Caenorhabditis elegans: one gene and its partners. The protein of the gene in region 4 interacts with the protein of the main gene of each other region in a pairwise test. Each region holds a gene or a part of one and is shown on either strand. Other genes may lie near its edges.

Region 1 (4,849 bases), on a different chromosome or scaffold from region 4:
TATAATTCCGCTCATGGCTCATTTTTGGCATAAACTTGGTAATGTAAACGTTTTGTGATTTGAAAAAACCCTATACTTCATACCACAAACTACTCTAACAAGTGTTCATACTTTTATGTCTCAAGCTCTTTCAAACAAATCGCACTTTTGTTCCAAATTTCTTCTCATTTTCGTCTCGGTCTTCTTATCATCCCATCCCCCTCCCCTTTTCGTTGATAATCAGCAACGCGCACTCGCTTTACTACAAACACGTCCAATACCTGCGCCTCCTCAAAATCATCCCTATATCATTCCGAGAGCTCCCCCGGCTCTCGGGAGCTCAAGAGGAGATGGCCATGAAGTGCGAGAAGGCTTCCCGCGCCGGGAAGAGCGAGAGAATGTCAGAGTTCGAGCGAGAGGATGTGCTCACGCCCGCGCGTGCCGTACACCGTTGGGCCTGAAGCTTTATCCGCACAGACCTCAGAACAGCAGAACCCCCACCTCCGCAACACAACACCAAGTTGATTTTTTGGAATTTTTTTTTGGAACTCAACCGTCTTAATTTATACATTAGTTCTGTATACTTCTAGACTTGATACAATGCAATTTCAACCTAAAATTGAAGATGTAATCTGAAATCACCCATCTCATATAAGAAAACAATGTTTAAAACTACTTTTTAGATTATGAACGGCAATCTACCAATGCCTAAGGTTGGCACGGTTTTTTTTGAATAAAACTTGTACTCTGCAATTCGATAAATGTATTTAGGATCATGTAAGATTGTTTTTTGCCAACATTTTAGCTCACATACGATAGATCTCTAGGAAGTTTAGTTCAGAACGTCATTCGTGGTATTTTGTGTTTATAATTATTTTTTACTTCAAAGCAAGTAGCATTACCAGATTGTTCAAATAGTTCTTTTTTGGTTGGTTTGTAGGACTTTAATACTAATGTTCAAGTTGCAAACGGAGATACAGGACTTCATGTTAAAAATCGTTAGCTTTGTTGTTATAAAACTTTATGTTATAAAACTTTCATAAGTTTATGTAGATTGGCCTACAAAAAGTATCACCTCTTTAAAAGTTTAAAAAATGTTACTGGCAGTTAGAAATAAAACTACAAAACTGGGGTAATATACGGTGTTCATTATGAAACACACTGATTATGAAAAAAAAATTGGAAAAAACTAAAATTTCAATTATTGGGTGTGGTATCGTTTTTTAAACGTAGTTTAAAACTATATGTTCCGTTAAACGATAAGAGTTCCATAAAAAAAATTAACTGTCAATCACGAATGACTCATCGAATCAGAAAACTCGTTATGCTCAGTTTCATAATTTCAATTGAATTTCTTTATTAATTTTAAATAAAACATCTTACTTTTTCAACAATCTTTTTTTTTCTGTTGTAGTCATTCACTACCATTTCCCCCGTCAAATTGCCCGACAGTCGATAAATATACAAAATCCAGCATAATCTCACTCTCCCTTCTTTTACTCTTATTTTCTATTTTGCACTATACGGAAAACAATACGATTTTTTTGTTTTCAATTTTTAATTAAAAGTAAAAATTCAAAATGTCAAAATGTTTGCAAAATTTTTCATCTATAAACGCCACGTGGTTATTGAAGATTTCGTGTAACTATTGGACTGAAACGTTTGCGCTTTAGCAAATAACTGCGTTTGAAGTGGTACACATTTGAAACAAAATGAATATTTTCGGTTGGACAATATTTTTTTAAACATGTTCTACTAAATTCTGTTTGAAACTTTGATTTATTTTTATTTGTTTCGCTCTATTTTATTGACCAGGACACAATAAAATTTCAGGTAGTCAAATCAAGATGGAACGTGTGACCGTTCGAATGGCTCGTTCGGATCGCCGAACTCCATGGGGGTTCGGTGTGACAGAAGCCCCAGATGGAGCTGTTCTTATTGTTAATGTAAGCTCTTTATTATAAATTTAGTATAAGTGTCCCCCTATTTGTCATAAAGTAGTTTGTCAGTTTGTCCAAATTGAATCACAATAAAATTTGTCGTAAAAATTAGTCTTGAGGCATATGTTTTCGTATACATTTAATACAAAAACCAAGAAAACCCATCACATTCACTTTTAGCACCTCTAGGTTCTTACCGCGATCTCAAAAATCACCGCATCACCACAACTGATTTACAATCTCATCGCCTTCCTCACTTTCTCTCGCAGTTTTATCCTCTGGACATGCCCAGGGAAAATCGGAAGAGCAACACAAAAAACATCACTTATTACAATAAGTTAGATGCTTTCAAAATTTCTCTCAAAACTCATAGACAAAATGTAGTGAGAGATTAGTCGTTAACGTAAGAAAAAATGAATTTGAAAAATTGACATGCGTTGGGGGATTTTTTAAAGCAAAGGGAGCCTTCAATTCAAACAAGTTGAATATCGAATAAAAGTTGAAAATTTCAGGTAATAGGTGGTAGCTTAGCTGATCGTGCCGGTCTTCGTAATGGAGATGTTGTTGATCGTTTGGAAGATCTTGACAATTTGGACATAAACGCTGTTGATAGACTTCTAGTTACAGCTCATGAGAAGATTGAACTTATTGTTACCAGGTAACTCATCTCGTTAAACACTTCAAATTTATCAGTATAGCACCAATTATTCAAAATTTGTGTCGACCACAATAAATAAAAATTATATATAAACAGAGCAGGTGTGTGAAAATAATAAGAAAGACATAATTTTCTCGAATATTTCCCCTAAATCGATCCCTTGAAAATGTACACAACCCTAGTTATGTAATCTGTAGCTTTGTTATCACAACGCAATTCAAAGTAGGTTACTTACCAGTTTGTATTTCCGTTTATTAACCAGTCAAAGTGTTCTCCGTTTTAATCACATCACCAATGTATCCTACCTTTCCGTTTTTAATCCGTCTGCGTCTTAGTTTATCTCCAACAGCAAGTGCTTCATGCAATAGAATATAGATATCCAAAATTTTCGAAGCGAACACCCGCCATATAAACAGGCGAACAGATAAGAATCAGGCCAATCGGTACGGGGGAAGCAGAAGGCAACATTCTTCCGAATATCTCGTTGCAGGAAGAAGGAGGGACTTAGGATTTATACATACATATTCCGTTTGATGACAAATCGTTGCAACTGTTTTGAACTGTTTTGAAACGGTCAAATGTCCCAATCAATGTTTTCTTTAGCTTTGCAACAGCTTTGCAACACAAGTTTTGCTCCTCTTATAAGCACTCTAATGTCATTAAATTTGAAGCTCGTTACCTTTTTCCCTCAAAAATCATTCTGTGTTGATAGTTTTAACAAGCTTCAGATATTTTTGCCCCTTTAAACTTATTTTTGAGCACTTTTTACATAAGCAACTGCAAAAAAAGTTGCATGGAAAAATGTTATAGAATTGCCAAAAATAACTGCCACAGCATTCAAGATTCTTTCCAAAACTGCTGTATAGTTTTAAGAAATACCAAAACAAAACAGTTTGACAATTATTATTATTTTGGCTTTTACTTTTCCCGAATTCGCATAATTTTCTCCTGAATGTTATGTTTTACTTTGAACAGTTGAATTTTAAATAAATAGGGTTTTAATGATGAGTCAGTTCATGACAAAGCAATGTACTTCTGACACTGTTCTTTTTATTTCATTCTCTGTTGTTGTATCAGAGTGTTCCAACAATTTATTCACCCTCTCGCACACAAAAACTGAGAGAATGAAATTGTTGAATACTTCCTCTCACATATTTCCCTTTTCCAGGTGTTTATCATTTTTGAACAAAAAAACTTGCAAGTTTCCTTTTTCTTTACGTTTACCCATTTTCCTATAAATATATTTCATGTTCAATTGAAATGATTTAAGATTCAAAAGTGATGGTGAGAATCACAACGACGCCAAGACCATGGTAATTTGAAATTTAATCGAAGAGATTAAATAGAAAATAAATAAATTTTGATTTCATTCATATCAAATAAGTTTAATTTCAGGCAACCATCCGGTGCAGCCACCAGAATTTGGCGTCCAGAAGTAACTGAAAATACTGGACCAGGACAGGATCAAACCCCATATCGTGTCAATTTGCAGCATAGCAGTGATGTGAGTCATTTGAGTTTTGTTTTGAAATAGGAAGCTTCACACAAAATCGTTATTTGTAATCGTTTTTAACGACAATAGCATAACATTTTTTAAAATTTCTAATAAATAGTGAATAATAAATTATTTTTAGACCCGTCCACCACAAGGTTTCAACAATTCAGCACTTCCTTTTGAAACAGATCAACGTGTGAAACATATGCAATACAATTCTCCATTGGGAATTTATTCCGATAAGTCTGCAGCTGAGCAATATGTTCAACAAACTCAAGGATTGGGAGATAATTCAGGGTGAGTGTTTTTTACATGACTAAATTTTTGAAAGAGCACTTATAGTTCAATTTGGCCAGAAAATATAGTATAAATTTAGTTCGGAAGTTGGCCTATATTTTACAAAAAAATTTCTTGAGACAAGTCATGGCCAAGCTTTGTTCACCCTTTACCAACTTCTGAACAAAATTCTTAGGTTTGGGGCAGTTGGGTCAGAAGTGGCGGTCGAATTCCGAGTCTCATAAATTAATCCAAAAATTACAAGACGTTAACGCTTTTTATCATTCAATTTCAAGAAACGAAAAACAAATTAAATGTATTTAAAATCCACGACGGCTTCTCATTTCTCTGAAAGCTGCAGTGAGGTTATCGATGAACAAAAGCTCGCGTTTCTTGCGCGGAAGGTAGTCTCCCTGAAAATTGATATTCTTTATCATAACAATTCAATCGAAATTACCGTGTCGAAACCTCCGGCGACAGCAGCTTTTCCTGCATCATCTG
Region 2 (5,513 bases), 530 kb from region 4:
TTTTTCGTTGATTAAGTTGTTTTCAGGAGTAAGAAGTATTTTTTGCACCCATCAACTAATGTTTTCAGACCGCCGCAACTGTGACATGTTGGCAGAAATCTAGGTTTTATCTGGAAGAGCTAGGTTTTCAAAATTTTATCAGCCATTTAAAAAAATTGAGACTTTTAAGACATTTCAGATTTTGAATTTCTTAAAACAAATACAAACATTTCACAGAACCAGCCAGGTTTAATCTTTGACTCACCATTATAATACATGCTGCCCATTGTCACAGTAATGCTCTCGTATTTAGAATAACCGCCACCAGGTCGAATGTGGGTTTTCGATGTATCTTGTCTCGTGTTAACTGATTAGAATCGCTGGGTTGGACCTTGTCTTCTTATCACGGCTCACCGAGCCATTCGTCTGACTTTCTTATTTGCTCTTGATCACGTTATCACCTTTAATATTTCCCCACCTTACTTTTCCTATCAATGTTTCAAATGAAAAATGAACATTCCATATGGCAATTTTTTGATCTGTATAAAGTATTTATTGTTGAAAATGAGTAAGTTACCGGAGGAAAAAGAAACAAAAAAGTGAAAAAGTATATAGCAAACGGAAAAAATGCAAACAGGCAGGCAGCAAAGAGTTGGGGTTCAGATTTCTGGTACAAAGAGAAGAAAACAGTAAATAGCTCAAGCAAAAAGCTAGATTTAGGAAGATGTCGTTTGTTGGCTTTGACGTTGGATGTGTGTCGCGCGCTCCTGCAAAGAAAAAAATAACATTTTATTCTGCACGTAAATTTTTGGGGGTTGAATTACCTCTCCCTTATTGTTGTAAAGGATTGTTTGAACGTTGGCGCCAACACCGAATGTTTCGTCACCTTCGAAAATGAGCACTTCTGGAGGATTGGCGATTCCTTGTCCGCGGGCGAAGATCTGGAAATGTAGAAATTTGTCTTTACAGTGGTTTTTTTAATGTTAAAACACCTCACTTGAATTTCTTTTTTTTTTATGAAAAATGTTTTGTATGAAATTGATTGAAGGTGGAGTAGCGCCAGTCGGGAAATTGTTAAAAACCACTCCTTTGGTCCAAAAATGACCAAACATCTTGATAAAACTTTTCAAAAAAAATTTTTAAATTTTTTATTTACTGTCAAAAAGTGGCAATTACTCAGTTTTTGCCACTCATAATTTTGGAAGTCGATCAAAAAAAAAATTTTTTTTCGACATTTTTTATGTTTTAATTTTGTTTGTATTAAAACATTGTAGGGGTCGAAACATGCGACATTTCTTTGAATTTCCTCAAAAGCTAGTATTTTAAAATTTTTTGGGAATTTGCCAAAACTTTGACCGGAAATTATGAAAAATCTAAAAAAAATTTTGGAGTGTTTTATTATGATATTCGGTTGTTTTGGATCATTATAAGTGCATTTAGACAAAATCCCCACTGGCGCTACTCCACCTTTTAAATAAATAATTGCTTCTTTCAAATTCATTTCTTATTCAAACCTTATTTGAAAACATTTTTTTTCAAAGCTGACCTAAATAATCTCACATCTCATCTGTCCCTTTTATTGATTTCTGTGAACAACGTTTGTCTTCACAGTTTCCATCAATTTGTTTATCACTTTTTATTCCTTCTTTTTCTCCTACATACATCCCCAATCTTTCTTTTTCGAAGCAAAGTTACCCCCCCTTTAGTCATTACGGACGGATGACCTTGCCACACCCAAACGCAATCGCGCATTAGATTATCAATTCGACACACACACACAGAGACAACAACACATTTCATTCTGAGACACCAATTTGAAATGTTTTATACGCGACAGGTCCTGGGTAGCTAGGCTTGTTTCTGAAAGAAGTAGAAATTCGCAAACCTTGACAGATTGGAATGGGTGGAGGATGTAGTCGGATGGGAAGGTGAAGACGATCTCGCGTTTTCCGTCGATCTTTCTCTTAAGCTTCCAGTCTCCGAGTGGCTCTTCTTTGGCTCTGTGTGTGTTTTCCAAAATGACAAATTTGCCTTCTGGGGAGGTTTCCTGAAAAGAAATTATCATTATTGAGTATGTACTAAGTGATAAATTGATTATTTTTATGTCGGAATGATATTATTAGTGACTACAGTCAATGGCCATTGGAAGTTTTAAATTTTTGAACGTCAAAGCTTTATTTTAGCGAAAAAGCAATTTTCAAAAAACTTGAAAATAAATCCCTCACCTTGATCGCCACATTTCCTTTAGCTGAACGTTGATAAGATGTTCTGCTGGAGTGTTCTCCTTTGACTACGCGCATCGTTTCGGTGTCAGCCTCTTCATTGATTGCAGATGTGCGGACGACCTTCTCGACAAGTTGCCGAAGCCCATTTCCTTCAGAATTACCTTCCAACATTTGTCTGTAAACCTTGAGCTCCCCATCAAGGGTTTGTTTAGTGTCAAGGAGCATCTGGAGCTCGACCATGAGAGCTTGGCATTCTTCACGGAGCTTGCGGATTTGTGCATCCTTGTCATTGAGGGCAGCTTCGTAGGATCTTTGGTCATCCTCGAGCTGGTAGTTGAGATCTTCGATTTGTTTCTCAAGAAGAAGATTCCTTGATTCCAAATCAGAAAGCTTTTGGCGGAGCTCGGAAGTTTGATTGCGGAGTCTCTTCACCTCCTCTTTCTGATAGTTGTTCTCCGCGTTTTGGCGGTTGGATTGAGTATTGATCTCTTGAACTCTCAACTGGTACCAGGATTCCATGTCATTACGGTTTCCATTCATGATCTGGTCATACTCGGCACGAATGTCACGCATAGCATTAGCGAGTTCATTCTTGAAGTACTCGCGGTTTTCACTAGTGGTGTCACGAGCAGCTTGAGCCTGAAGCTCCTTGAGCTCAGTCTCAAATCCTCTCTTCATGAAGTCAATCTCCTCCAGAATAGTCTTCACCTTGTTTTGGTTGTCGATACGAAGAAGGGTTTCCTGGTCGAGCTCCTGAAATTAAAAATTGTATCTTTTTTTCCGAATACTTCATGATTTAGTCACTCACAATGCGAACACGTTGGAGTTCAGATGTGAGCCGGAAGTTTTCCTTTTTCAGGCGAGCAACTTCTTCCTCAAGGAGGGCGATGCGTCTCTTGAGAAGGTTGATCTCGGCTTCGAGGTTGGAAAGGGTAACCAAAAGATCATCAATCTTCAAACGATCTTCAGCACGCCCTCTTTGGGCCTCTTCAAACCTGAAAATAATATTCAATGTGAATTTTGTTAGATATAAACGGGACCGGTATTAATGGTATAGGATATACAAAGTTTCAACTTCTTAACGGAGTGATACTGGAGCAATGGCTAGAATTGCTCAAACTCTCCAGAATAGGATCCAGATTTAGCAGATTATCAATATAAACGAATCATTACGGTTTTCATATTTACTATGGTTTCTCATCTCAATTAAACTCACTTCTTTCGCAACTCGTCGAGTTGATCCTGAAGCTTACGAATCTCCTTTTCAGTCTCTCCGTGATCCTTTCCTGTCTGCTTGACAACATTGGTGGCAGTGGTGATCTCCATCTCATACATAACTTTCACAGATCCGGTACTTTTTCCAAATCTTCCTTGGAGCATCTTCAGATCGGCATCCAACTTTCTGTTCTGAGCATCAAGGAATCTGACCTTCTCAATGTAGCTAGCCAAACGATCATTGAGCTCCATGATTTCTTTCTTTTCACGCTCACGGTTGTCTCGGATGGTGGACGCAGCATTCTGTCCGTATGGGGAGAGTCCACTTGAAACTGAGGAAGAGTGAGTTTCGGTGACAATCTTCAGCACACGATTCCCTGATCCTGGTGCTCCATAGTTTTGACTACTGCTGGTAACAGTGCGGTTGAATGATGGGCGAGAGGTGATGGAGCTGCGGTAGGAATCTGGATCGGTCATTATGTCTGAAAATTTTAAATTGTTAGAAAAATCTATGTTATAATATATTGGGGAGCAAGAAAATAGAGAGAAGTTGAAACAATCAGATTGTCTAATTTGAATTGTTTTATGAAAACTTAGAAACAAAAAAATATAGCAATTCAGGGACAATGTGAGAAAAATGACAAAACCCGAGACACACCCTCTTGAGAATATAACTAACCACACCTACATAAGTAAATCGAGAAATTGAAAACTGGGAGGGGAGGTGGAGGGCGACATAAAAACTGCCTCACCTCTTCCTTCCCAACCCATCAACATTTCTTGTACACGAAGAAGGTGGCGGATCGGGAGGGGCTGGAGATGGGCGGCGCAGTGAAGATGATGGAAGGGAGCGGTTTTCTCCAATTTATCGTTTTTTTTCTCTCTCTCTTTCCTGACCACTTATCCATTCGCAATCCCCGCCTCCATTGGTGATTGCAAAAGTGACGAAGATGGACATGTTCCCGTAAGTGAATTATTGTTCTACTACCAGAAAAGGGTGTCGTCCAGATGAGTCAGGAGTCAGTTAAAACACGATTGGGTGTGGTTTTGATTAATGATTATTCGTCTTGAGAGATTGTGAAGTTTAACTGTTACATATTCTATTCAAATATTCGATTCGAGGTGACTAATTGATAGATTAAGTGATAGATATGTCAGAATTCACCCACTTGCCTCGAATTAAAATGATTAGATAAATGTGAAGAGACAGCAAAAAAGATTTTTAGTGATTGAACTTCGGCAAACTTCAAAGGAAACTTTCTTAAATGTTTGTTCTTAGTTTCAAAATGAAGAAACTAGTTTCAAAAAGTAATTAGTCAAAGAACTACAGTTTTTTTACACCGATCTAGCTGCAACATGAATTTTGGTTTTTTTTGTTGTTATTTTTGAATAATCAAAACAATTAAAAGCCAATAGTCTTATTTAATATTTGTGCTCTAGTTTTCGTTAATTAAAAAAGGAATATAAATAGAATTTGAAATCAGCTCCCTTAAATGATTTAACTACTTCTTTCTCCGTAAAGTGAAAAAAATTTGAGAAGAAACAAAGAAAATTTTAATTTTCTACTGTTCCTAGGTAGGCAATAAGCACAAGCTATAACTGTAATAAACTTTAAGGTGAAGTAGCGCAAATGGAGATTTTGCCTAAATACACTTATAATAGGCCAAAACCACGAGGAGAATTGCCAAAATTTTGAAAATATGAGTCTTTTAAGGAAACCCAAAGCAATGTCGCATGTTTCGACCCCTACAATGTTTTAATACGAATAATTTAAATAAAATTGCATTATAAAATATGTAGAAAAAAAAATTTTTTTTGGTCGACTTCCAAAATTATGAGTGGCAGAAACTGAGCAATTGTCACTTTTTGACAGTAAATAAAAAGTTTTCCAATTTTTTTGAAATGTTTTATCATGGTATTTGGTTATTTTGAGACCATAGGAGTGGTTTTTGACACATTCCCCACTGGCGCTATTCCACCTTTACAACTGAATCAACTAACTGTTGTTTATTAGAATATATTAAAACATATAAATTTAGATGTCGAAAATCAGTGAATAAAAAATTAGTAAGAAGTAGTTTAGGTCATAATGAA
Region 3 (7,481 bases), on a different chromosome or scaffold from region 4:
TCTGAAAACATTTTACTGTGGTGTTAGCATGAGAGAAGAAGACAGAAGACTCCATTCAAGAATGATGTTTTGCAGACAGGGCGGACCTCCAGGAGGAAGAGGAGGTTATCAAGGTATTGAATACGTAAATTGCTTTATCTTTCGTACCACAACGAGTTTATTACCAAAATTAAAAAAAAATGGGTATCCTACCGAGTTTATCATCGAAATTCAAAAACAAAAAACATTAAACGAATATAAAAATACTTGTTCCTGTGCTTTATATTATTGACAGTTGGACGAAAAAATTGTTTGTAAAAGTTTTCATATTTTCATTGCAGACAGAGGACCCCGACGTGACGGACCACCAAGTGGAGGAGGATACGGAGGCGGTGGTGCTGCTTCAGGAAACCGCGAATTCGGATCCGATGGGCGAGTTGAGTTGAAGGAGACCGTCTTTGTGCAGGGAATTTCCACCACGTATGTTTTGTAATCGCCCAATTAAAAAATGTATCTATATTTCAGTGCAAATGAAGCCTACATCGCCGACGTCTTCAGTACCTGCGGAGATATTGCAAAGAACGATCGCGGACCGAGAATCAAGATTTACACCGATCGCAACACCGGAGAACCAAAAGGAGAATGCATGATAACATTCGTCGATGCTTCTGCAGCTCAACAAGCTATAACTATGTACAATGGGCAACCATTCCCTGGCGGCTCAAGCCCGATGAGTATTTCACTAGCCAAGTTCCGCGCTGATGCAGGAGGTGAACGAGGTGGTCGTGGTGGACGAGGCGGTTTCGGAGGTGGTCGTGGTGGTCCTATGGGAGGACGTGGTGGCTTTGGCGGTGATCGTGGAGGATATGGCGGCGGCGGTGGTCGTGGAGGATTCGATGGTGGTCGCGGTGGTGGCGGTGGATTCCGTGGCGGAGACCGAGGAGGATTCCGAGGTGGTGATAGAGGAGGCTTCCGCGGAGGAGATCGTGGAGGATTCCGAGGCGGCGACCGTGGTGGCGATCGTGGAGGATTCAGAGGAGGCCGTGGAGTAGGTGGCGGAAATGCTAATATGGAACAAAGGAAGAATGACTGGCCATGTGAGCAGTGCGGAAATAGCAACTTCGCTTTCAGAAGAGTTAGTTAATTTTGTTTTTTCAAAAAAAAAACACGGGTTTTCTTCTAGGAATGCAATCAATGCCAAGCCCCGAGACCAGATGGAGGATCCGGAGGTGGTGGTGGCGAGCGACGAGGAGGACCACCAGGAGGTGACCGATACCGTCCATATTGAGCCATCAACTCGTCTCCCCATAAATTTTAACATCTAATTTAAATTCTCTGATCTCTTCAATGTGAGAGACTTGTAACAATTTTATATCCACCTTTATATTCTACTTCGATACATTCAAATTTCAATGTTCTTTTTATATTTCATTTTTTCCCACTTTTTATTTTTAACGAAAATAAAAATTTTTGCACATTAACATCTGTTTTTTTTGCAATTGTCCGCATTTCCCTACCCATCAGCTGCTTTGCGTGTCACTGTCTGTTTTCTCTCCGCACTTCATCTCTACGTCACACTATCTGCTTCTCCATCTCTTTCGTCTCGACCTCCCTTTGCCTCGGCGCCCACCTCTCATTCTTCCAATTTACCCGGGAGAGACTGTCCGTTCGAAACTTCGACCGACTAATGAGCAGTATTACAGGACTACAAGGTAAGATTCGAAGAAATCGCTATGAGAATAGATTTTTAGTAAGATTATTCTCGCATATTCAGAATAAAAATATAAAACTATCAATGAAAGTTATTTTAGATTCAGAATTAAAGTATAGTTCTTAAACTTTATGATTGATAGGCTCTACGAACATTTAATTTGAAGATAAAAACGTAGAAAGTTACATCGTAATTTAAATAGACTCTGACATGCCTTCACAAAGGCACACGGATTTATTCAGATGGGTCTTCGCGCGCAAAAAAGTTAATGGTAGTTTTTTTTAAATTAATTTTCATTATAATTTTAAATCTGATTCTGAATAACCAGTAGTTTTTATTGAAAATAAACGCAGTCGCTAAAATCCAAAAGCAGACTACCATAAACTTTTTCGCACACCAAGACCCATCTGAATATATCCGTGCGCATTAATCACAACCAAGGGTGTCAATTCCCGTTTCCCGTTTTTCCCGTTGTCCCGTTTTTGGGGTGTTTTCACGGGAACGGGAATTCCCGTTGTCCCGTTTTCGAAATTTTTACGGGACATTGACACCCTTGATCACAACAGCTGTTTGATTTTCAATAATTACATCTATGTAGTTGCACAAGTATTCAATTTTGAAAATAGTTTTTTTGTTTTTGAACTTTCCTATTGAAACTATTTGATAATGGTTAATGAACATGGGTCTCGCCACGCTGACAACGGGTTACTGTAACTCGTTAGAACTTACAGGTAGATATTACATCATATTTTTGTTTAATACAATTCCGCCACCAGTACCTCGTTTAATTTGAAAAGGTTGATACAATCTCGGTCCATAAATTAATATGAGCTACAGTAACTCGATGTCCGCGTGGCGAGACCCATGCACGTAAGATATGGCGAAAATTCTAATGTGCATAATAGGAATTCAATTTTTAATTTTTTTTGTGTGGTTTATTTTATATAAATACTCTCCTCGCTTTCAATTTCATTTTTTTAATTTTTCAAACTCAAAAAACACACATAGAAACACATAGAAACAAGAAGCTCTTTAAACATTTTCAATTCTTTTGTCCTTCTCCTCATTTTTTCTCCGGCACAATGAGCTTATTCGGTCATGTCAATGTCTGAGTCTCTATATCTTCAGTTGATATTTTGCCTATTTACCCAATGACCTACGAATCGTGTTTCGAATCAAAAACTTGAAAAAATTTGTGTTTGCCTACATTTTTTTGCCCCACACAATTTCATCTTCTTCAATACCCGTAACTACTTATATAATTTGGTTTCATATCTAATCAAACAAGTAATAAAACGGAAGGAAGATGGGAGATATTTAAAAGTAAAATAGATATGTTTGCAGTTAAATCTCTTCGAATCGGGGTGGAACCTGTTGAAGTAGAGTTAGATGAAGATGCTGGTATCTTGTGGACTTCACTTCAAACTGCATTTCCAGGTGGGTTACTGTAACGGAACACAAGAAGATAATGCATTTTAATTTGATGCATTCAGGCTTGTGTCAAACAAAAAACTTCTAGAAAAAATAGCAAGAACATTTGGATTTGGCAGTTGTAAAACATTTTTAATCAAATCATAGACAACCGAGAAGCTAATAGAAGAAAGAAGACAGTTCTTCAGTTTTTCATAATTTTTGTGACTTTTTTCAAAATAACAATCAACACGAGTACACTGTAGGTACTGTAGCCAGAAATTTCCAAATTCTTGTTGAATTTTCCTTTTTGTGAATGTTTTCATTTGACAACACACAAACTGTATCATTTTTTGATGATTCACGTGAATTTCTGCTGACAAGACAAATAGATAATAGCGGAACAGTCCGTGTTATTTTTGTTACCACACACCCCTCTGATGTAGGCATCAAACATGTCACCTCACCCATAGAATTGTTATCACTTCTCATTTCTGCTAACCTTTTTCTTGGTTTATTTCAATGTAATCAAATCGAATCAACATGTATGCAAAGTATGCGAATAATTGCAAAAGAATTGGCGCCCAAAAAGAGAGAGAGAGAGAGAGAGAGAAGAAGAAGCTTTTCTTATCTGTTACAGTCTGTGTCTTATTGATCCGTATATTTTCTCAAGGGTTTTACAGAAATTGATAGCAGCAGGAACTGGAGAGAATGAGAAAAAATGAAAATAAATAGGAAAAAAAATTACAGGATGTTCTGGGATGTACTACCGAGAAATCGGTGACTCATGCAAGAAATCAGTGAAATTTGATGGAAAAAAGTTTATGGCTCCTGGCGGAGCATGGAATGATCGAGAATACTTTGTGACTTTGAGTAAGATTTACCACAAGGACATACCGCAAACAACTTTGTTTAGGTCAAAGATGTCATACAGCTGCTGGAAATTCGGGACATACTGCTTCTTACAGCGACGCCACAAAACAATTTGAAAAAAGTGTGCAAGCAGTGCAGAAAATGATGTTGGCTTCTGGAATGAAAATAGGTGAGAAGGGTCATTCAGCACATAATTTTCATAATTTTTACCATATGAAATCAATTTATTCCTGAAATCAAACATACAAACTGCTCTTTGAGATATGAGCCATCTTACAAAGAAGCGCCAACACACTTCTTCTCGTGAAACAGCTTCATCAACTTCATCATCTACAGTAACCCCTGATCCGATTCAAGCAATTGAGGTAGGTATCCTTTATTTTGACATTTTTATTCACAAAAAGATGTTTTCACAAAATCAATTTTTTAGGAACGCTCACAAATGTTGAAAACCGCTGGAAGAGAACTAAGCCCATTGGAACAACAATTTTTGGATTTATGCCGTATTTCAACTGCGAAAGATCAGATTATTGATGCCAATCGACAGGAAATCACAAAGATGAATGAAACGTTACGAATTTTGGAAAAAAACTTGAAGGAGACCGAGACAAATTTATCTGAAGCAAATGCGATGGTTGATTGCAAACAGCAGGAATTGGAAATGGTCAGTGAAGCATTAAAACGATTGGAAGAGTCGAGGCATACTGTAAGACAAAGATTTCCAGTTTCAAATATTTATTGATAATTTTCAGATCAGCGAGTTGAACCGAAAATCTGGAAATTTGGAGGAAAATGTTACCGAGCTGCAAATGAAATTGATGAATGTAGAGGAGGAGTAAGTGGAGGTGAATAGCAAACGTTTCCATATTTCACTAGTATTTCAGAAATCACGGACTAAAAGCTCAACTTGAAACAAGTCACAATAGAATAAAAGAAATGTCTGATACTATATCAATGCTTACTTCATCAAAGGATATTTTGTCAAAAGTAAGAACAATTGTTATTCAGATTTCAATAAAATGTACCTACTTCAGGAACTGGATCAATTGAGACCATTCGCAGATGCAGCTGGAATTGAGGATTATGAGAATATCCCAACGTTTATTCACGCAATTCAGGAAAATAAGGAACTTCGGAAAACAAATGAAAATATGAAACTTCAATCAGAAGAAACAAAAGATAATCATAAACAGATGCAAAGTATTCATACAGAGGTTTTCGAGGAAAATGCTAAATTAAGGAATAGGTTAGATTGATGGAGTTATTACAAATTTTTGGAAAATTTATAATTTAGAAACGAAGATTTGGAACGAAGATTTGCACATGTTGATGATGAACTCGCTTGTGTGAATGAGAATTGGGCAAAAGAACTGAAAGAGAAACAACAAGATTGGGATAAAGTTGTAAGTTTCTACTTAAAAAATTGAATCGAAATTGGGCGGGATGAAAAAGAGACTGTTAGAAATCCATTTCTAATGTTTAATAGTTATTTTATGCCAAAGAAATTAATTAATTTCAGAAATACGCAGCAGAATCAGAAGTGTTATCTCTACGTGAACAACTTGTCCATCTTCAATCAATTCTTGAATCAGCAACCCGGGAAGCAGCAGAAAATGCTCGAAGGTCAGCTGATCCTCTGCTCGAGTATTCTCTTATCTAGATCACTCTTGCATTTTTTCTATTTTTTAATTCAGAAACGTCATCTGGGACTGGTAGATTCGTAGACTTGGTAATTGATAATTCGAATATTTTTATTATTTTTAAACCATAATCTGAAAGAAATCTTAACAGTCTCAGTTGATAAGTAACCAAAATAATTGATTGAATGCCCTGAAAATGCACAAATTTTCGTTTCCTTCCAACGTACCTGGAACGTTTTGATCCATATTCCTTTTATCTCACTTTTTCCCAAAAAATTCCGGTTTCTTCCGTTTAACGGTTTTCCTTCTCGGTTATGCTCAACCCTAATCAGTTTTCGTATTTGTAAATAGTTTTAAAATGAATAAAATTTTTGGATTCATAACCGTTTTTGTTCAATAGCAAGGAATACCGTTAAATGGGAGAATCAACTGCAATATCATTTTAAAAATCTGTTATTTTATAGGCCACTTTTCCATTCCAGCACAGTTTTTGAAAACTTTTTGTCAAAGTTTTGGCAAATTGTCTCAAAATCCTGGACTTTTTGAGAAATTTATAAGGACATTTTATAGGGCATTCTTGATTATCAAAGCTCTACTAGGTTTGAACATTAAAAAAAATATAAATAGTAGAAAAGACAGTTTTTGGTAAACTTCCAAAATTGTAGTAGCTGAAAACTATTGAAAATTTATGAATATTTTTGCAAAGTTTAATAATAGTTGTGAGATTTAATTGTTTCAAGAGTGTTAAATCTGAATAATTACAGAGTATCAGAATTGGAACATGAACGTCATGAAGTTCGACGTCTCTCCGATGCAATGCATATAAAAGCTCAGGTGAGCGGCAGTCCAGTCCATCGTCTGTCGTCTTCAATTCGCTTTTAACTAAAAAAACCCATTTGGCTTATCATTTCATTATGAATCAATTTCACAAAATCACGACACATATCTGATTATTTTAAGTTCTCAATAAATTATTTTTATTTCATGTTTTTGCTGTGAAAAGCTGATTTTATGTTTGCATGGCTTCGCTTTAAATAATTTCAAATATCTAACATATTCAATTTCCGACTATTCCAGGAAGATCTAGCCCGTCAAGTGAGAGTTTTGAAAGAAAGACTCGCAGAATCGGATAGTCAAGTTGCTGAGCTCAATGTGCTTGTTTCTTCGTTGGCAGCAGATGCCACAGCTTCACGCAGAGAAATTTCAGATCTTTTGTAAATAATTCGATGAAAATATTTGATGATAATCCGAGTGTGCTTCAGTTTCTATCTAAAAAATAACGGCGTAGATTTAGAGTATGTAATAAAGAGTTTCTTCACTGACTTGTAAAAAGTATGAACAGTTTACATATATGATTTAATTTTTATCGGTACAAAAACTATACTGATTTGGGCTAGTGCTAGGTCTAAAAATTGCTTGATAATGAGAAGTACTGTGTTTTTTCACTACAATTCTTGCTGGAAAAATTAATGTTGAATGGGAAGGACTGAAAATAGTTTTAGCAGCACAGAAGTTTGACTAAGAAAAAATTATCAATGGGAAAAACTGAGCCACCTTTCATCGTAAAATCAAATCAAAAACGAGAAAATACGTTTATATTTATGAATAAATTGAAAGTAATAAAATATATAAAGGCACGTAATTGAAAAAGGTTAACAACGGAAGCATTTAATCAATTGATTGGCATTCTATTTTGTTGAGTGTATTGAATATTTTCTTCAACAAGTTGAACTCGAAATACAAATCCATACCCTTAACGGTATCAAGGGAAAAACATCTTTCGATACATTGTTCAAAATCTTGTCCAGAATTATTTCATTATCAAACACAGCGTTAATTGGGTCAAAGTTCTGAAATGCCAAATGAAA
Region 4 (5,901 bases):
GCTGTGCAGTATGTGGTCACTTGGAAATCCACGAGCGTCTGAAGAATGTGACGATTGAAAATGAAAAGCTGTTGATTATGTTGGGCTGTATTTATCGCGGAGAATTTACTCTAGGACAGGCACAGCTTTTCATGGCGCGTGAGAGCAAAACGTACATTTGCCGTCTCCATTTCCTGGAGACCCTCGACGAGATCTACCAGATGCTACGTCTGAAATCTGCCGATGATATTCTGATTTGCCCATTGGACTTGATTCAGAACGCATTGATCACTGTTTCCGCCCTCCGTCCACACATTATTGCTTCACAACTTCGAAAGATTCTTCACGATTTTGCCGAAAGAAATAATCATCTTCGTGAAACGCCAGCGGTAAGTTTCCGTTTTTAAAATTGCACATTTTGAAACAAATTAATTGTTTTTAGGAATTGAAGAAACTTGGACAACAATACTTTGACTACCGCGAGCCCGAACCTGAGCCAGAGAGAAACGATGTGGATGAGCAAGAAATCATACCGAAACTCTTTCGCCAGCCACGCAAGCAAGTTCTGGAAGCTGATCAGCATGACGGAACTGTCAAGGTTATAGAGCAGGAAGATTTCAAGCTCCCAACTGTCAAACCGTCTGAAAATGAGGAATGCGACAATCCGGGCGTTTGCTGCTTCTGTTCGAAACGTGGCGACCGAGGTGGAATGCTTCGTGTCCCGAGAAGTGAGGAACGTTTGGCTAGATGGGTGGATAAGCTTGGACCAGAATTTGAAGCCCGACTTCACACCAATACGGAAAACCTAATTTGCCGAAGCCATTTCCCAGATGCAGCGTTCAGCAGTCGTGGTAGACTTTTGAAAGGAATGATTCCAGATGCTGCTCCAGAAAAAGTTGAGACCACGTATATCATTCAAGGGAACAACTTCCTCAAACTCAAAGAGCGCAAGTCTGGAACTGATAAGAATTCAGCCATTGATTTGGCGAATATGTTAAACCCCGACGGTGTTGAATATACTCAGGAAGAAGAAGAAGAAGAGGAATATGAAGAAATGTCAAGATCCCCAACGGAAGAGACTTCAGACGACGAGCCCAGTCAAGCAGCAGTTTACAACAATGCTCCAGTGATAAAACGTACCTATAGAAAGCGGGAGTTGTCAAACGAGGATGGACCTCTTAACTTGGTAACACCACCTGCTCATACTCCGAACCCAAGAGGGCGCCCAAGGAAGTATCCCAAGAATAGTGTAACACCAGAAGCTGAAAAAAGCCTCACCGACTACGACTACAATCCGGGAACATCTCAACGACGTGCACTTAAGAAAGGTTACGTACAACTCGAAGACGGAGAAATTGTCGGCGAAGATTGCGAATACGTGCCTGAAAAAACACCAAGTGGAAGATTGATTCGACAAGCTGTTGCTAGACGAAGCTTTGCTTTTGCTGATGAGGAAGAGGAGGAGGAAGAGTATGAAGAATCTCCAATTGTTAAAAAGCCCAAGATTGCTGGAAGAGTGAGTTTTTGAAAAATATATGCTTTGAATTATTTTTATATTTTTTCAGCCAGTCGGACGACCGCGCAAAGATGCTAATAAGCTGCCAACCCCCACACCACCCAGCAACGAATAAGTGGAAATATTTTCATCCACCGTTCCTGATTGTTGTTTTTATATATAATTTTTTCTCCATTGATGTTTTTGATGATTAAGTCATACGCATAGTTTTACCCTGTTACTTTGATTGCCCTTAAAATTACCACTTTTATTTTACCTATTTATTTTAATCATCATTCATCTGAAACCTCACAATGATGAGATGATCTCATCATTTTTATATTTTGTAGTTTTATATCAGTTTTATAAATGTTCACCGAAATTTGATGCCAACTGGTTTTTTTCTAATTCTTTCCAAATGGTTTCACATCACCAAATGACAATTTTCCTTTACTTTCCTATCTTGCTTATCATACACTATCACTTATTCAGATTCCTAATGTTGGCTCCAGCGGCTCCAGCTAAAGATGTTGTCTCGGCAGATGAAAAAGAAGAAATCATTGCGAAAAGAAAATTTCGAATGAAAAACGTTGATGCTATGCGAATGTCAAGCTTGGCGAACGATCGGATGGCTTTCAACAAGAAATGCAATGCCCTAGCGATGAAGTTTGTTAAAAGTGCCGGCATTGGAACGGATGCTCTGCAGCTCACATGTTTCCAGGAGCTCGTCCGGCATTTCAACCCAATTGCCGCAGTTGTTGTTGGTGTCAAAAGAGAGGTATGGCTTTTTAAGGATTTTCTCCCATTTTCTGATATATCTAGTTAAAGGTGGAGTAGCGCCAGTGGGGAAATTGTTAAAAACTACTCCTTTAGTGCCAAAAGGACCAAATATCAAAATAAAACTTTTCAAACATTTTTTGAAAATTTTTTATTTACTGTCAAAAAGTGACAATCATTCAGTGTTTGCCAATCATAATTTTGGAAGTCGACAAAAAAATGTTCTCCTACATTTAAAATGCAATTTTGTTTTGCCTACTTGTATTAAAACATTGTTGGGGTCGGAACATGCGACATTGCTGTGGATTTCCTCAAAAGCTCATATTTTTCATAGTTTTGGCAATATGCCAAAACTTTGACTGGAAATTATGAAAGATCTAAAAATTTTTGGAGTGTTTTATTATGATATTCGGTCGTTTTGAATCATGATAAGGTTGAATAAGAAGTGTTCTATCTTCAATGTTTCAGCCAAACTCCAATGTACAAGCTGAAAAAAAGACAATTCCAAAAGTCAAGACAATACAAACACCTACCCAGTCAATGGAATCTGTTCGATTGGTAAGCAGAAATGTTTGAAGATTATTCATAATAATGCGTATATGGTTTCAGCTCCAAGAGAAAAAAGCTTCAGCAACTGAAGAACAATCAGCTGAGTCTGCTTCGATCATGAAGCATTTTGCGAATACAATTCCAAACTCAACACCAACGCAAAGCGTGAAGGATGTTCTGACGGCGGCTGCAAGCAAGGGACAATTCAAAAGTAGCGCGGAAATTTTTTCACACTTTCCAAGTGAACCCAGCCCCTCGAAACCCCGTGCCACACGAGAGGGATCTCAACCGAGTGACTACACGTATTGTACCTATCTGACTCCGTGCATACTCTGCGAGAAGGCTCTTTTAATGCGAGAAAGCATTGCAATGACTGATAACGAAGCTGTGAAAGTTTTGATGGCGGCAGTGATGTCTGGCCACTTTAGAATGGCAACTGCAGAGAAAGCGATTCGTCATGAGAGGCTAAGGATGTGCTATGATCATGTTGATTTTGTAGTAAGTTGTTCAGTATTTTTTTCAAAATAGTTAAGTTTGAAAAGCTGTGAAAACTTTTCTAAAGCTGATTAGAACATAAATTCTAATTTAAAAGTTATTAATTTTATTTATAATTTTCATGGCAAAAGTTCAAAATTTTTGGTGTTTTGTTTAGTACAACCTCTATTTTATTTTATATATGTGATCGATATTAATACATTAGACTAGAAAACAAGAATTAAAGGACGATCCGTTCTTCAAGTCCTATGCACTACGGATCTGGGATTCAGGTGGTGCTCCCACTGAGTTATAATTTAAGCCACGTCCTAGCCGGGGACTGTGGCCGATAATCCTATCGTGGACTGCTCTACTTACCAATAGAGGCTGGATGAAAACCTAGGTGGTGAGGTTGGACTTGAACTTGTGACCTCCAGATTGCTAGCGGCCACCACTACCGACTGAGCTATCCTGCCCCCTTTTAGTTTAGAGATTTTAGTTTAAAAAAAACCATACACCACTTTTTCAGTACGAAATGATGTGCGACGCCTTTGAAGCTAAAACGGAAAGCGAGATCAATGAGATGCCACCGGACAGATTGATGCGTGGCCATGATATCTATAGAGCACTGAAGGTTTGATTGTCATATCTCGTTGTTCTACAACGGTGAAATGTTTTAAGAGAGTCGGCGACCTGCACAAAGGGAAGGTTACGTCGAACACTCCGCTTTACTCATTCAAGAATTCCATTAAATCTTATTACCGTAACCACGTGCCAAGGATGGTCAATGGGTCTCTCAGTAAACCGTCTCCCAAACCGTTCTCAGAGCTGGTTGCGCTTTTGCAATCGGTGAGTCTTGTGACACTTGTGAAAATTTTAAAAAAATTTAAAAAATTATTCGTTTAAGGTGCCTCCATCGACGAATCTAAATGAGTTGCTGAATCATAATCTTAGCCTCAGTGATGCTGATAAGCAAGAACTCATTCAACTCATCAATGGGAAAGATAATCGTTTCACATCTCGGAGACGGAAAATCGAGGATATTCTTGACAACAAGTTTGCTGCTGCAGCTGCAAAAGCTTATCGAGATCACAGTGAAGATGCACCTAGTGAACCGTATATTCCCAATCAAAGTGAGATGCAGAACACTGTAGAACGCAGAAAGCGAAAGCTTCATTCGCCTGAACAGGATGATGCTGGATCATCGAGTATCTCATGGAACGCAAAAAAAACGAAAACTCCAATTGACTATGTTCACCTAGCAACGCGTGTTTTGGAAGGTCATTCAATTGCCGACGAGGCGCTTTTGCACAAATCCAAAGTTTCTTATGCTCGTAATGCATTTGGTGAGAAGCCAAGCTCCCCCACTCCGCCATCTGCGCCACTAAAGTTCTGTGTTGTCAATGGAAAGAAATACTTGCGTTTTGAAAACGGAACCGGACCTCCGAAAGTTGTAGTTCAAGGGAATGTCGTTCTTCGCACTAATACTCTTAAAGACGCATTGACTACAGCGCCACGTGCACAAAACCAGCCTTCTACGTCCACAGACTCATCAAGCTCATCCGAGATGGAGGGAATACGTCAATCATTTGGGGCGCCTCAAAAGGAAGAAGAAGAAGAAGAATTAGTACCTACGCTTCTTCAAAACAAACCTACCCACGTGGAATCTTCGAGCCCCGTTGAAAAAAAACCACCAACCAAAACGAACGTAGAGAAACCAGCGGTCCGTCTAGGAAGAATGTTAACGACTGCATTTGGTTCAATGAGTTACCGAACAAGAAAATCGGTAGAGAATAAAACGGATCTCTTAAATCAGCCAACATCTGCCTCACCAAGACGCATGATTAAAGTTGTGAGAAACCGAAATCCTCACCTTGCGAAACAAGTGGCCGCCGCACCGAGTGAGCCAAAACATATTCCGCCAACGCACATGGAAAAGAAGCCGGAAGAGTTGCTCATGGATCCAAAGCCTGAGCCAATTTTTTAAACGTTCTTGATAACTTTGATTATTATCTTTTTAGTTCAATTTCATGTTTTTTTTAAACTGTTTTTTTCTCATCACAATCGATCTTATAAATATGTTACTTGTTATCAAAACTATTTCAAGAATTTCGAGTTTAGCGCATTTCGTGAGGAGGAAGTCTGAAATTAAAAGTTTTTGCAATGAATTTTTGTTCGGTCACACGGAATTTTTCAGGTTAGAAAAGTGTTTTGTGCGTGTTGGTTTTGTTGACGTCTTTTCAGAAAAAAAATTTAATGGTGTTTATTGATTGAAACCCGTATCCAAAAGATAAAACAACATACCGCAATTCCAAAAAAGAGCAAATTATGTTTGCCGGAAATGTTTAATTCCGGCCATTTGTCGATTTGCCGGAAATTTTCAATTCCGACAATTTGCCGATTTTCTGGAAGTTTTTAATTTTGGAAAGATGCCGATTTGCCGGAAATTTTCACTCCCGGCGATTTGCCGATTTGCTGGAAATTTTCGATTCCGGCCAATTGCCGGAAATTTCAGTTCCTGCGATTTGTCGGTTTTCCCGAAATTTTTAATTCCGGCAATCTGCCGATTTGCCAAAACTTTTCAATTTCGGCAATTTGCCATTTTGCCGAAAACTTTCAATTCCGGC

Evidence for each region.
Region 1: the proteins of lin-15A (region 4) and alp-1 interact in a two-hybrid assay, tested with the Caenorhabditis elegans proteins (2 studies listed by BioGRID).
Region 2: the proteins of lin-15A (region 4) and mua-6 interact in a two-hybrid assay, tested with the Caenorhabditis elegans proteins (2 studies listed by BioGRID).
Region 3: the proteins of lin-15A (region 4) and C27H5.2 interact in a two-hybrid assay, tested with the Caenorhabditis elegans proteins (2 studies listed by BioGRID).

Annotation. Positions count from the first base shown.
Region 1 is NC_003282.8:8,850,688-8,855,536, forward strand, and holds the start of alp-1 (PDZ and LIM domain protein Zasp), read left to right. Parts: upstream 1-1,812; 5' UTR 1,813-1,826; coding exon 1,827-1,925; intron 1,926-2,431; coding exon 2,432-2,577; intron 2,578-3,842; exon of another isoform or gene 3,843-3,858; coding exon of another isoform or gene 3,859-3,890; intron 3,891-3,972; coding exon 3,973-4,081; intron 4,082-4,211; coding exon 4,212-4,369; intron 4,370-4,608; exon of another isoform or gene 4,609-4,668; coding exon of another isoform or gene 4,669-4,761; intron 4,762-4,805; coding exon of another isoform or gene 4,806-4,849. Other genes in the region: T11B7.5 (uncharacterized protein), read right to left, coding at 4,669-4,761, 4,806-4,849.
Region 2 is NC_003284.9:16,261,786-16,267,298, forward strand, and holds mua-6 (Intermediate filament protein ifa-2), read right to left. Parts: upstream 3,902-5,513; 5' UTR 3,897-3,901; coding exon 3,421-3,896; intron 3,200-3,420; coding exon 3,013-3,199; intron 2,958-3,012; coding exon 2,205-2,957; intron 2,027-2,204; coding exon 1,865-2,026; intron 921-1,864; coding exon 804-920; intron 747-803; coding exon 696-746; 3' UTR 504-695; downstream 1-503. Other genes in the region: Serine/threonine-protein kinase sgk-1, read right to left, coding at 245-266. UniProt on the Caenorhabditis elegans protein: Cytoplasmic intermediate filaments provide mechanical strength to cells. Essential protein, involved in attachment structures in epidermal cells that connect muscles to the external cuticle.
Region 3 is NC_003280.10:7,154,017-7,161,497, forward strand, and holds C27H5.2 (TAR DNA-binding protein 43 N-terminal domain-containing protein), read left to right. Parts: upstream 1-1,564; 5' UTR 1,565-1,666; coding exon 1,667-1,691; intron 1,692-3,034; coding exon 3,035-3,127; intron 3,128-3,850; coding exon 3,851-3,973; intron 3,974-4,016; coding exon 4,017-4,142; intron 4,143-4,234; coding exon 4,235-4,338; intron 4,339-4,403; coding exon 4,404-4,679; intron 4,680-4,725; coding exon 4,726-4,808; intron 4,809-4,857; coding exon 4,858-4,960; intron 4,961-5,007; coding exon 5,008-5,219; intron 5,220-5,267; coding exon 5,268-5,376; intron 5,377-5,492; coding exon 5,493-5,596; coding exon of another isoform or gene 5,597-5,633; exon of another isoform or gene 5,634-5,667; coding exon of another isoform or gene 5,668-5,689; exon of another isoform or gene 5,690-5,993; intron 5,994-6,377; coding exon 6,378-6,447; coding exon of another isoform or gene 6,448-6,495; exon of another isoform or gene 6,496-6,598; intron 6,599-6,690; coding exon 6,691-6,831; 3' UTR 6,832-6,945; downstream 6,946-7,481. Other genes in the region: fust-1 (RNA-binding protein FUS), read left to right, coding at 76-113, 321-459, 505-1,114, 1,163-1,267; C27H5.12 (Ferrochelatase), read right to left, coding at 7,332-7,463.
Region 4 is NC_003284.9:15,730,002-15,735,902, forward strand, and holds lin-15A (Protein lin-15A), read left to right. Parts: upstream 1-1,966; 5' UTR 1,967-1,973; coding exon 1,974-2,252; intron 2,253-2,719; coding exon 2,720-2,809; intron 2,810-2,860; coding exon 2,861-3,298; intron 3,299-3,803; coding exon 3,804-3,908; intron 3,909-3,955; coding exon 3,956-4,123; intron 4,124-4,181; coding exon 4,182-5,261; 3' UTR 5,262-5,364; downstream 5,365-5,901. Other genes in the region: Protein lin-15B, read left to right, coding at 1-368, 422-1,495, 1,545-1,610. UniProt on the Caenorhabditis elegans protein: Synthetic multivulva (synMuv) class A protein. SynMuv proteins are required to repress the induction of vulval development.